Linked DNA regions of Sus scrofa. Each later gene encodes a partner of the first gene's protein in a complex. Links are inferred from orthologs where the notes say so. Each region holds a gene or a part of one and is shown on either strand. Other genes may lie near its edges.

What was found.
Region 2: TUBGCP3 (region 1) and NME7 share a complex: the UniProt entries of both Homo sapiens proteins name them as parts of the gamma-tubulin ring complex. The link is inferred for Sus scrofa from reciprocal best matches to the Homo sapiens genes TUBGCP3 and NME7.

The regions. Positions count from the first base shown.
Region 1 is NC_010453.5:78,215,112-78,218,932, forward strand, and holds part of TUBGCP3 (gamma-tubulin complex component 3), read right to left. Parts: intron 3,312-3,821; coding exon 3,186-3,311; intron 768-3,185; coding exon 699-767; intron 416-698; coding exon 283-415; intron 1-282. UniProt on the Homo sapiens protein: Component of the gamma-tubulin ring complex (gTuRC) which mediates microtubule nucleation.
Region 2 is NC_010446.5:81,691,705-81,695,525, reverse strand, and holds part of NME7 (nucleoside diphosphate kinase 7), read right to left. Parts: intron 907-3,821; coding exon 799-906; intron 1-798. UniProt on the Homo sapiens protein: Possesses an intrinsic kinase activity. Displays 3'-5' exonuclease activity with a preference for single-stranded DNA. Does not seem to have nucleoside diphosphate kinase activity.

The DNA.
Region 1 (3,821 bases):
CTCCGGAGGAGCGAAACCCCAGGAAAGGCTGCTCATTGAGATGAGACAAAGGAACACAAACCAACAGCCCTAACGAGGCCCAAAACTACCCCCCGCCCTCCTCCCTCAGCTCAGGAGATCCTGAGCCTCCACAGGCGTGAACGCTGGGCCCTGCCGGCAACAGGCATTTTCCCCGCAAGGTCACGTCTACTCATTTGCATTTAATCGGCACACTTCTGGCTGTTAAGCATACAAAAGAGCGGGCTACCCCCTAAAACCCGCTGTGAAGTAAGGCAGAAGGACCTTGGCAGTGGTCCACCAGGGCTGCTAAGGTCTTCAGCCTCATCTTGGGGTCATACGTCCAAACCAGGAGGCGCCGCAGCGTCAGGCTGCTCTCGAGGCCCAAATTCACCCCCTGGTCGTCCTCTAACTGCAGCTGAAAATCAGGAGAGAGAACGAGTAAGCGCAGGTCACCACATACGTTACCCCCTCACTCCGTGCAGACCCGGGGAAGGGATTATTCCCATAAAAACGCAACAGACATGCCCTCCGAGATGACAGCTCAGGCCGCAGGTGACCTGCTGGCGCCAGGCCACCCGGGACCCTCGCGGCCCGTCCTTGCACGTATCGCCGGGTCCTGCTCCCTAAAAGCGAGGGCGGAAGCATCCGCTCGCGCAGCGCGGGGGGCGCTGGGCAGCTCCACGCCGGCGGGTGCTCACCTGGGAGTGCAGGACGGAGAGCAGGCGGTAGTACTCCCTGAGCTCCTGGTGCAGCGCCGCGCAGAAGCTCTGCGGGGGAGGGGGGAGGAGGCGCGTGAAGGCCGGACCCGAGTCCCGCACCCTGCACGCTCGCAGCAACGCACGGGAGCCGCGCGGGGCGCGCCACGAGCCCGAGGTCGCGGGTCCCTCGGGATTGGACTCCGCTTCTGGCCTCGGTCTTCGGGCGGGGCCACCACCACGCCGCCGTCCGGAGGGAGGGCGGGGCGAGGAGGAATCGGGTTCCACACAGCGAAGGCGCGTTGCCTTCAGCGAGGGCTGCGGGGCCGCATCCTTGTAAATCAAGTCGAGGCGACCCGCAGCACTGGGCGGGTCAGTTCCCCGCGGGCAGCACAGCGATTTGCTTCTGCACATACACGCATGCACTGCGGCTTATTCTTTTGGATTCTTTGGCGTGATAGGTTATTAGGAGATGCTGGGCCCCAGTTCCCTGTGCTGCACAGGAGGTCCTTGTTGTTTACCTGTTTTATGTACAGTCATGTGACTCTATTAATCCCCAAATCCTAATCTAACTCCCCCCTCGTGTGGCAACCGTAAATTTGTTTTCTGTCTGCAGGGAACAGGTTTTATCCTCTGCAGGTTCTGCCTGTCACGGGCTTTCGTGGAAACCAAAGCTTCCCCCTGAATGTCTCTGTCCCGGCTTACACCCGGAGTTCACTCCAGAAAATTCCGGTCACCAGAGTGTGAAGCTCCTTCCTACAGCTCTTGATGTGAGACCTCGGAATTTAAGAATGGAAACGTACAAGGCAGTTTTCAATAAACTCTGGACGGTACACACTGAACAATAACAACAACAATAATAACAATAATAGAAGGAATTGATAGTTATCGGTTTTAAAATATTGCTAGAGGGAGTTCCCATCGTGGCTCATCAGAAACACATCTGACTAGTAATCATGAGGACACAGGTTTGATCCCTGGCCTCCCTCCGTGGGTTAAGGATCTGGCATTGCTGTGAGCTGAGGCAGAGGCCATCAGCTGTAGCTCCGAATCGACCCCCAGCCTGGGAACTTCCATATGCCACAGGTGTGGCCCTAAGAAGACAAAAACATAAAAAAATAAAACAATTTAAAATAAAAAACCTGCTGTATAGAACTGGGAACTATAACGAGTCCCTTACAACGGAGCAGGATGGAAGATAAGGTGAGAAAAAGAATGTATATGTGTATGTGTGACTGGGTCACTTTGCTTATAGCAGAAAATTGACAGAACATGTAAACCAGCTATCACGGGAAAAATAAAAATCATTAAAAATAAAACTGAAATAAAATACTGCTAGCGAAGAGCATTAAAGAAAATGACACTTTCACACTAAAAATTTGGAAGGGAGAGACACGGAAGCAACCTACATGCCCACAGACAGAGGATCGGCTCCAGATGTGCATAAACACACGGACGCTCTGGACACTACTCGGCCGCAGAAAGGAATGGAATAAGGTCTTCTGCAGCAACACGGATGGACTTAGAGGTTATTGCATTAAGGGAGGTCAGAGAAAGACACGTATCTCAGAATATCACCTACATGTGGACTCTGAAAAAGTACAAATGAACTTCTTTACAAAACAGAAGCAGACTTGTGACAGAAAACAAACACGGTCACCAAAGAGGAAATGCGGGGAGGGAGAAACGAGGGGTTGGGGTTAACAGGTGCACGCTGCCATGTATAAAACAGATAAACAGGGATTTACTGTACAGCTCAGGGAACGCTTGCAAGAAGCTATAATGGAAAGGAGAAAAAGAATATAGACACATACACACATGTGTGTAAACAAAACACACTCTTGCATATGTCACTATACACAAGAAACACACTATTATAAATCGACTCTACATCCGTGTTTAAAAAAATATTTAAAAGAATCAGGTCAAAGGGAAAATACATAAAAACATGTCAAGTGGAGTTCCCGTCGTGGCGCAGTGGTTAACAAATCCGACTAGGACCCATGAGGTTGCAGGTTCGGTCCCCGCCCTTGCTCAGTGGGTTAAGGATCCGGCGTTGTCATGAGCTGTGGTGTAGGTTGCAGACGCAGCTCGGATCCCACGTGGCTGTGGCTCTGGTGTAGGCCAGCGACTACAGCTCCGATTCCACCCCTAGCCTGGGAACCTCCATATGCCGCGGGAGCAGCCCAAGAAATAGCAAAAAGGCAAAAAACAAACAAACAAACAAAAAACATGTCAGGTGACTCATCCATGGTCACTGTCCCTGAGAGCTCATTAAGCAGTCCTTGAGCGGCTATATTTGACTCCGCCTGTCGGTGCATACTGTGCTTTCTGTTCTCTCGGGTGGACCGCGACTGACGCAAGTCTATCATCCAAACTTCTCTCCATGGAAAGATTCCCCCTTCAGAGCTACCTTCACCCTAACACTGAGCAGAACAAGCATTTCCCCCAGCGAAGGCGCCCCGGGTGCCCCAGCAACAAACCACATACCTGACCTACGAGTCCAAAGGACCGGTCCAGACTCCTCTGGTCCGTGTACTTTCTGATCTTATTGTGTAACCACCCCAACTCCGCAAGTCTGACCGCCGTGTCCCTAAGAGACTTACTCAGGTTTGCCTGAAAAGCGAACATACCAAGAGTTAAAAATTCAAAAAATGTTTCAACACAACTAATTATTCTTCTTCTCAACCACACGTACTTTTATATCTGTATTTCTTACGCTTCAACCCAGGAAACTTTAACTGGTATACCAGCACTAAAGTGAAGACACGAAGCCTCTAGGAGACAGCTTCAGGGAGCGGGCGGGGAGGTAAAACACAAGACCTGGGCGCCACTGTCCCCAGGAGCGCCCAGCCAGGGCGCCCGGCGTAGGGGGACTGCCTGGGACATCAGTCACCTGGTGACTCAGCCAAGAGAAGCAGAAGGATGCAGGGAAGCCAGGACTGTGGAAAGGCAAGGTCAGGAGGACAGAAGCACAAGCAAGAAGCATCGTATGTGGAATCTGTATCGACGGCAAAGATGCCGAGACACCTGACGGGCAGGTAACTGTGGCGTGACCACGGAAGGATGCAGAGGCCGGCTGGAAGGGCAGCGGCCACCAGCGAAACAAGGCAAGGATGCAAGTGC
Region 2 (3,821 bases), on another chromosome or scaffold:
AAAGTACACATTTAATACTTTTAAAAACCTTGAATAGAACGATTTATGTATTGCCAAACCATTGCCACAAATTGGTAGCTATGAAATCTGAAGAATTCCAAATTTCTCCTTTCTTGCCCATACAAGATCCAAATTACCAAACAGATCCACCTGCAAAAGGGGTTGTCAATGAAGGGACATAAAGTGGGACTCTTTGAGTTCAATCTTCTTCTATTTGGCTTTTCGTAGAGATAACAGTAATGAACAGCACTCAACAACGGTAACATATTTATGATCATGATCATCTTTGTCTATAGCCACTTGCTGATTATTGCTTAGTCCAAAACATGAATAATCCCACTTCAGTTTTCTAACTAAAAAAATAACTTCAGAGTTCCCAATGTGGTGCAGCAGAAACGAATCCGACTAATAACCATGAGGTTGCCGGTTTGATCACTGGCTTCGCTCAGCGGGTTAAGGATCTGGCCTTGCTGTGAGCTGTGGCATAGGTCGCAGAGGCGACTCGGATCCCATGTTGCTGAGGCTGTGGTGTAGGCCGGCAGCTGTAGCTCTGATTGGACCCCTAGCCTGGAAACCTCCATATGCCATGGGTGTGGCCCTAAAAAAAAAAAAAGAAAAAGAAAAATAATAATTTCTATTAAAAATAAAGGTACAAAAGTATCTTCTTATATTGGAATTACAATATCAAAATAAAAAGGATGTATTTTTAAAAGTAACTACAAAAAAGGCAATCCTTTTCCTCTCCCTAGCCCACCTTCATCCTGTTACCCGCTTTTAAGTGAAGAAAGGTTCATTTACCATTTCAACAGATCCATCCCCTGGGTAAAATAAAAGCTCATAACGTCGAAATAGTGAAGCATTTGGATCATACCACTCTGCAATGAAAACGAATCTTTCACTGTGATTCTGCAAAGAGAAGAATTTTAACATGAACATATAAAATATAAGGACTCAAAGTCATACAAATTTAAAGAATCAGTAAATATTTGCAACAAATCTGTTACTACTTATTATATTGAATAATTCTTGTCATACTGAATAGAATTTCAACAATATTACCAGCTATCAAAACACTCAGAAATATTCCTTCTAATTTCTTTTTAAATATCCTTAGATATCTCAAAGATGACATATGAGCTGCTTAATACTTCATGGCCATCCAACCATCCTGAGTAAAATGACAGTTTTTTAGAACATCAACTCCTGATCTGACTACTGTGATAGTTCAGTCCTTCTGAAAGCAAGTTTACACATAGGCAGATGATCAATAAACTAGCATGGGAAAAAAAAATTTCTGAGAGGCTACCCCTAAATTACATGAAGTGTTAACTGACCTAACTTTAAGAATCCAGTCGTATTAGAATATTGTTGTCATTCAATTATAGTAAGTATCTTTTCTCTCCTTAGTAATTTCACATGATAGTATCTTTTACAGAAATAGAGGGAGAATGTGCTAGTCTAGATCCTCCAAGAAGCAGACAAGATGCCAAGATGGGATTAAACATGCAAGAATTTTATTCCTGTAAAAGAAATTCTGTATGGAAAGTTGCTGCAAGGGAAAATAGGGAGGGATCCAGGGGAAGCTGGCAGACCACCATACGAATCTGACCTTGAGGGAAGGAGAGAGAGAAGGAAGGCTGGGTGAAATCCTCCTGGATTGCTAGACAGTCCAAGGAAGGTTCAGTAAGACCATCGGGGAGTGCTCAAGCCAAGAGCCCTCAGATAGTTCCTTGACTCCACAGAGGAGAAGCCTGCTTTAGTAACTCTGCTCCTCTCAGTCACCGAGTGAGCCCTGGGGGAGCATGTGCTAGGTAGAAAAGCAGCAGTAGATTTCAGAGCACAGTAGCTGAGGACCTTTGGTCATTTTGCTACCTCTAGCTGAAGATATGTGAGGTACATACAATGAAAACATAAGTCAAAGATTGGCCCTCTTCCCTCGTCTAGTGAAGGATTTCCCATCCTATGTTATTAATAATATCTTAGCCCTCAAAGATCCCTCATCAAGATAAGCAAATGAAGACACAGGAAGAAAATCTAAGTGTTTTGTTGCTAATTCTGGATTTAGAATTCGATTCTCTGGTTAGGGTATATGAATGGATTCCTTTCATGTTAATAATACACTTACAAATTCTAATAGTAGTATATCTAGTTATATTTATGATATATACTCATCAGCTACAATGTAGGTAGTTTTTAAGACACTCTTTTATTTTTTTCTCATAATCATCCAAAAAGAAACATTTTTTCACTTTTTTTTATATATAATGTTTTTTGGGTTTTTTTAATTATAACTGGTTTGGGAATTTCCAAAATGACACATTTAAACAATGCTTATTAGTCAAGAGAAAATAAAAATGAGATATACTATGACAAGCCTTTCTTCATTTACTATTTTCATTGATCCTTATAAATACAGTTTTTTTATTTTTATTCTTTCAATACAGGTTTTCAAAATGTAGGTTTCACTGTGCATTTTAGTATTGTACTCCCCTTTTAATAAATTTAAATATTAGTAGTTCATTAAAATTTTACTATCTATATTAAAATTTTTTTAATGTTTCTCACATTATTCTCCATCATGTCCCATCACAAGTGACTAGATATAGTTCCCTGTGCAGGAACCCATCACTTATCCATTCTAAATATAATAGTTTGCATCTACTAACCCCAAACTCCCAGTCCATCCCACTCCCTCCCCCTTCCCCTTGGCAATCACAAGTCTGTATTCTATGTCCATGAGTTTGTTTCTCTTCTATGGAAAGATTCATTTGTGCCATATATTAGATTCCAGATATAAGTGATATGTGGTATTTGTCTTTCTGACTTACTTAGTATGAGAGTCTCTAGTTCTATCCATGTTGCTGCAGATGGCACTATTTTGCTCTTTTTTATGGAATTTGCTCAAAAATATCATTGAAATATTGCCTTCACTAAAATAAATAATATATGAGATGGATGAAATGGTGAGACATCTAAGCGAAGGTAAAAGGAGCTCCCATGGTGGCACAGTGGAAACAAATCCGACCAGGAACCATGAGGTTGCAGGTTCGATCCTTGGCCTTGCTCAGTGGGTTAAGGATCTGGCATTGCTGTGGCTCTGGTGTAGGCCAGTGACAACAGCTCCAATTAAATCCCTAGCCTGGGAACTTCCATATGCCGCGGGTGAGGTCTTAAAAAAGACAAAAGACAAAAATAATAATAATAAAAGGGCAAAGAGAGTGAAGCAAATGAAAAACCAATGAAATCTGGCACTTCCAGTTTTCCAGGCAGCTTAACCATAAAATCTGCCAATCACCCTTTAATTCTGAGGCAGACAGAAGAATTTCTCATGATTGGTTATCCAGAAAATAATATAAAGATGATAAACTGAGGAATTACTATTCTAGTTGACAATGTAGCTTATAGCAAATCAATGCTACTATCCAAGAACAACTAGAGAAGTGAGATATTTTTAAAAATCTGTTTGATGACCTTGGAGAGCATTTGAAGCAGCCAGATTTGATGATCTAGATTAAGAAAGACTAGATCTCACTGAGGTTAGCATGGCATTCGTCACGTTGCTTTTACATGAGACTCAAGCTGAATGAGAGACTGAGAAGCTCAAGAAGCTGGTAGAGGAAGGCTTCCAAAAGGCAGAGAAGCCAACAGAGCTTTTGACAAAGTCATAAGGATAAGTAGACAAAAGCTATAATTTGGTCCCACCAAAGAAGCCAGCACTTTAGGGGCAAAGATCCCAGAGAAAAGGAAACAATAGCAATATGAGCTCAAACCTGTTTTTGTTCAATGGAGCATTCAGTATTCTCACAGTGCTGGGGAGAGGG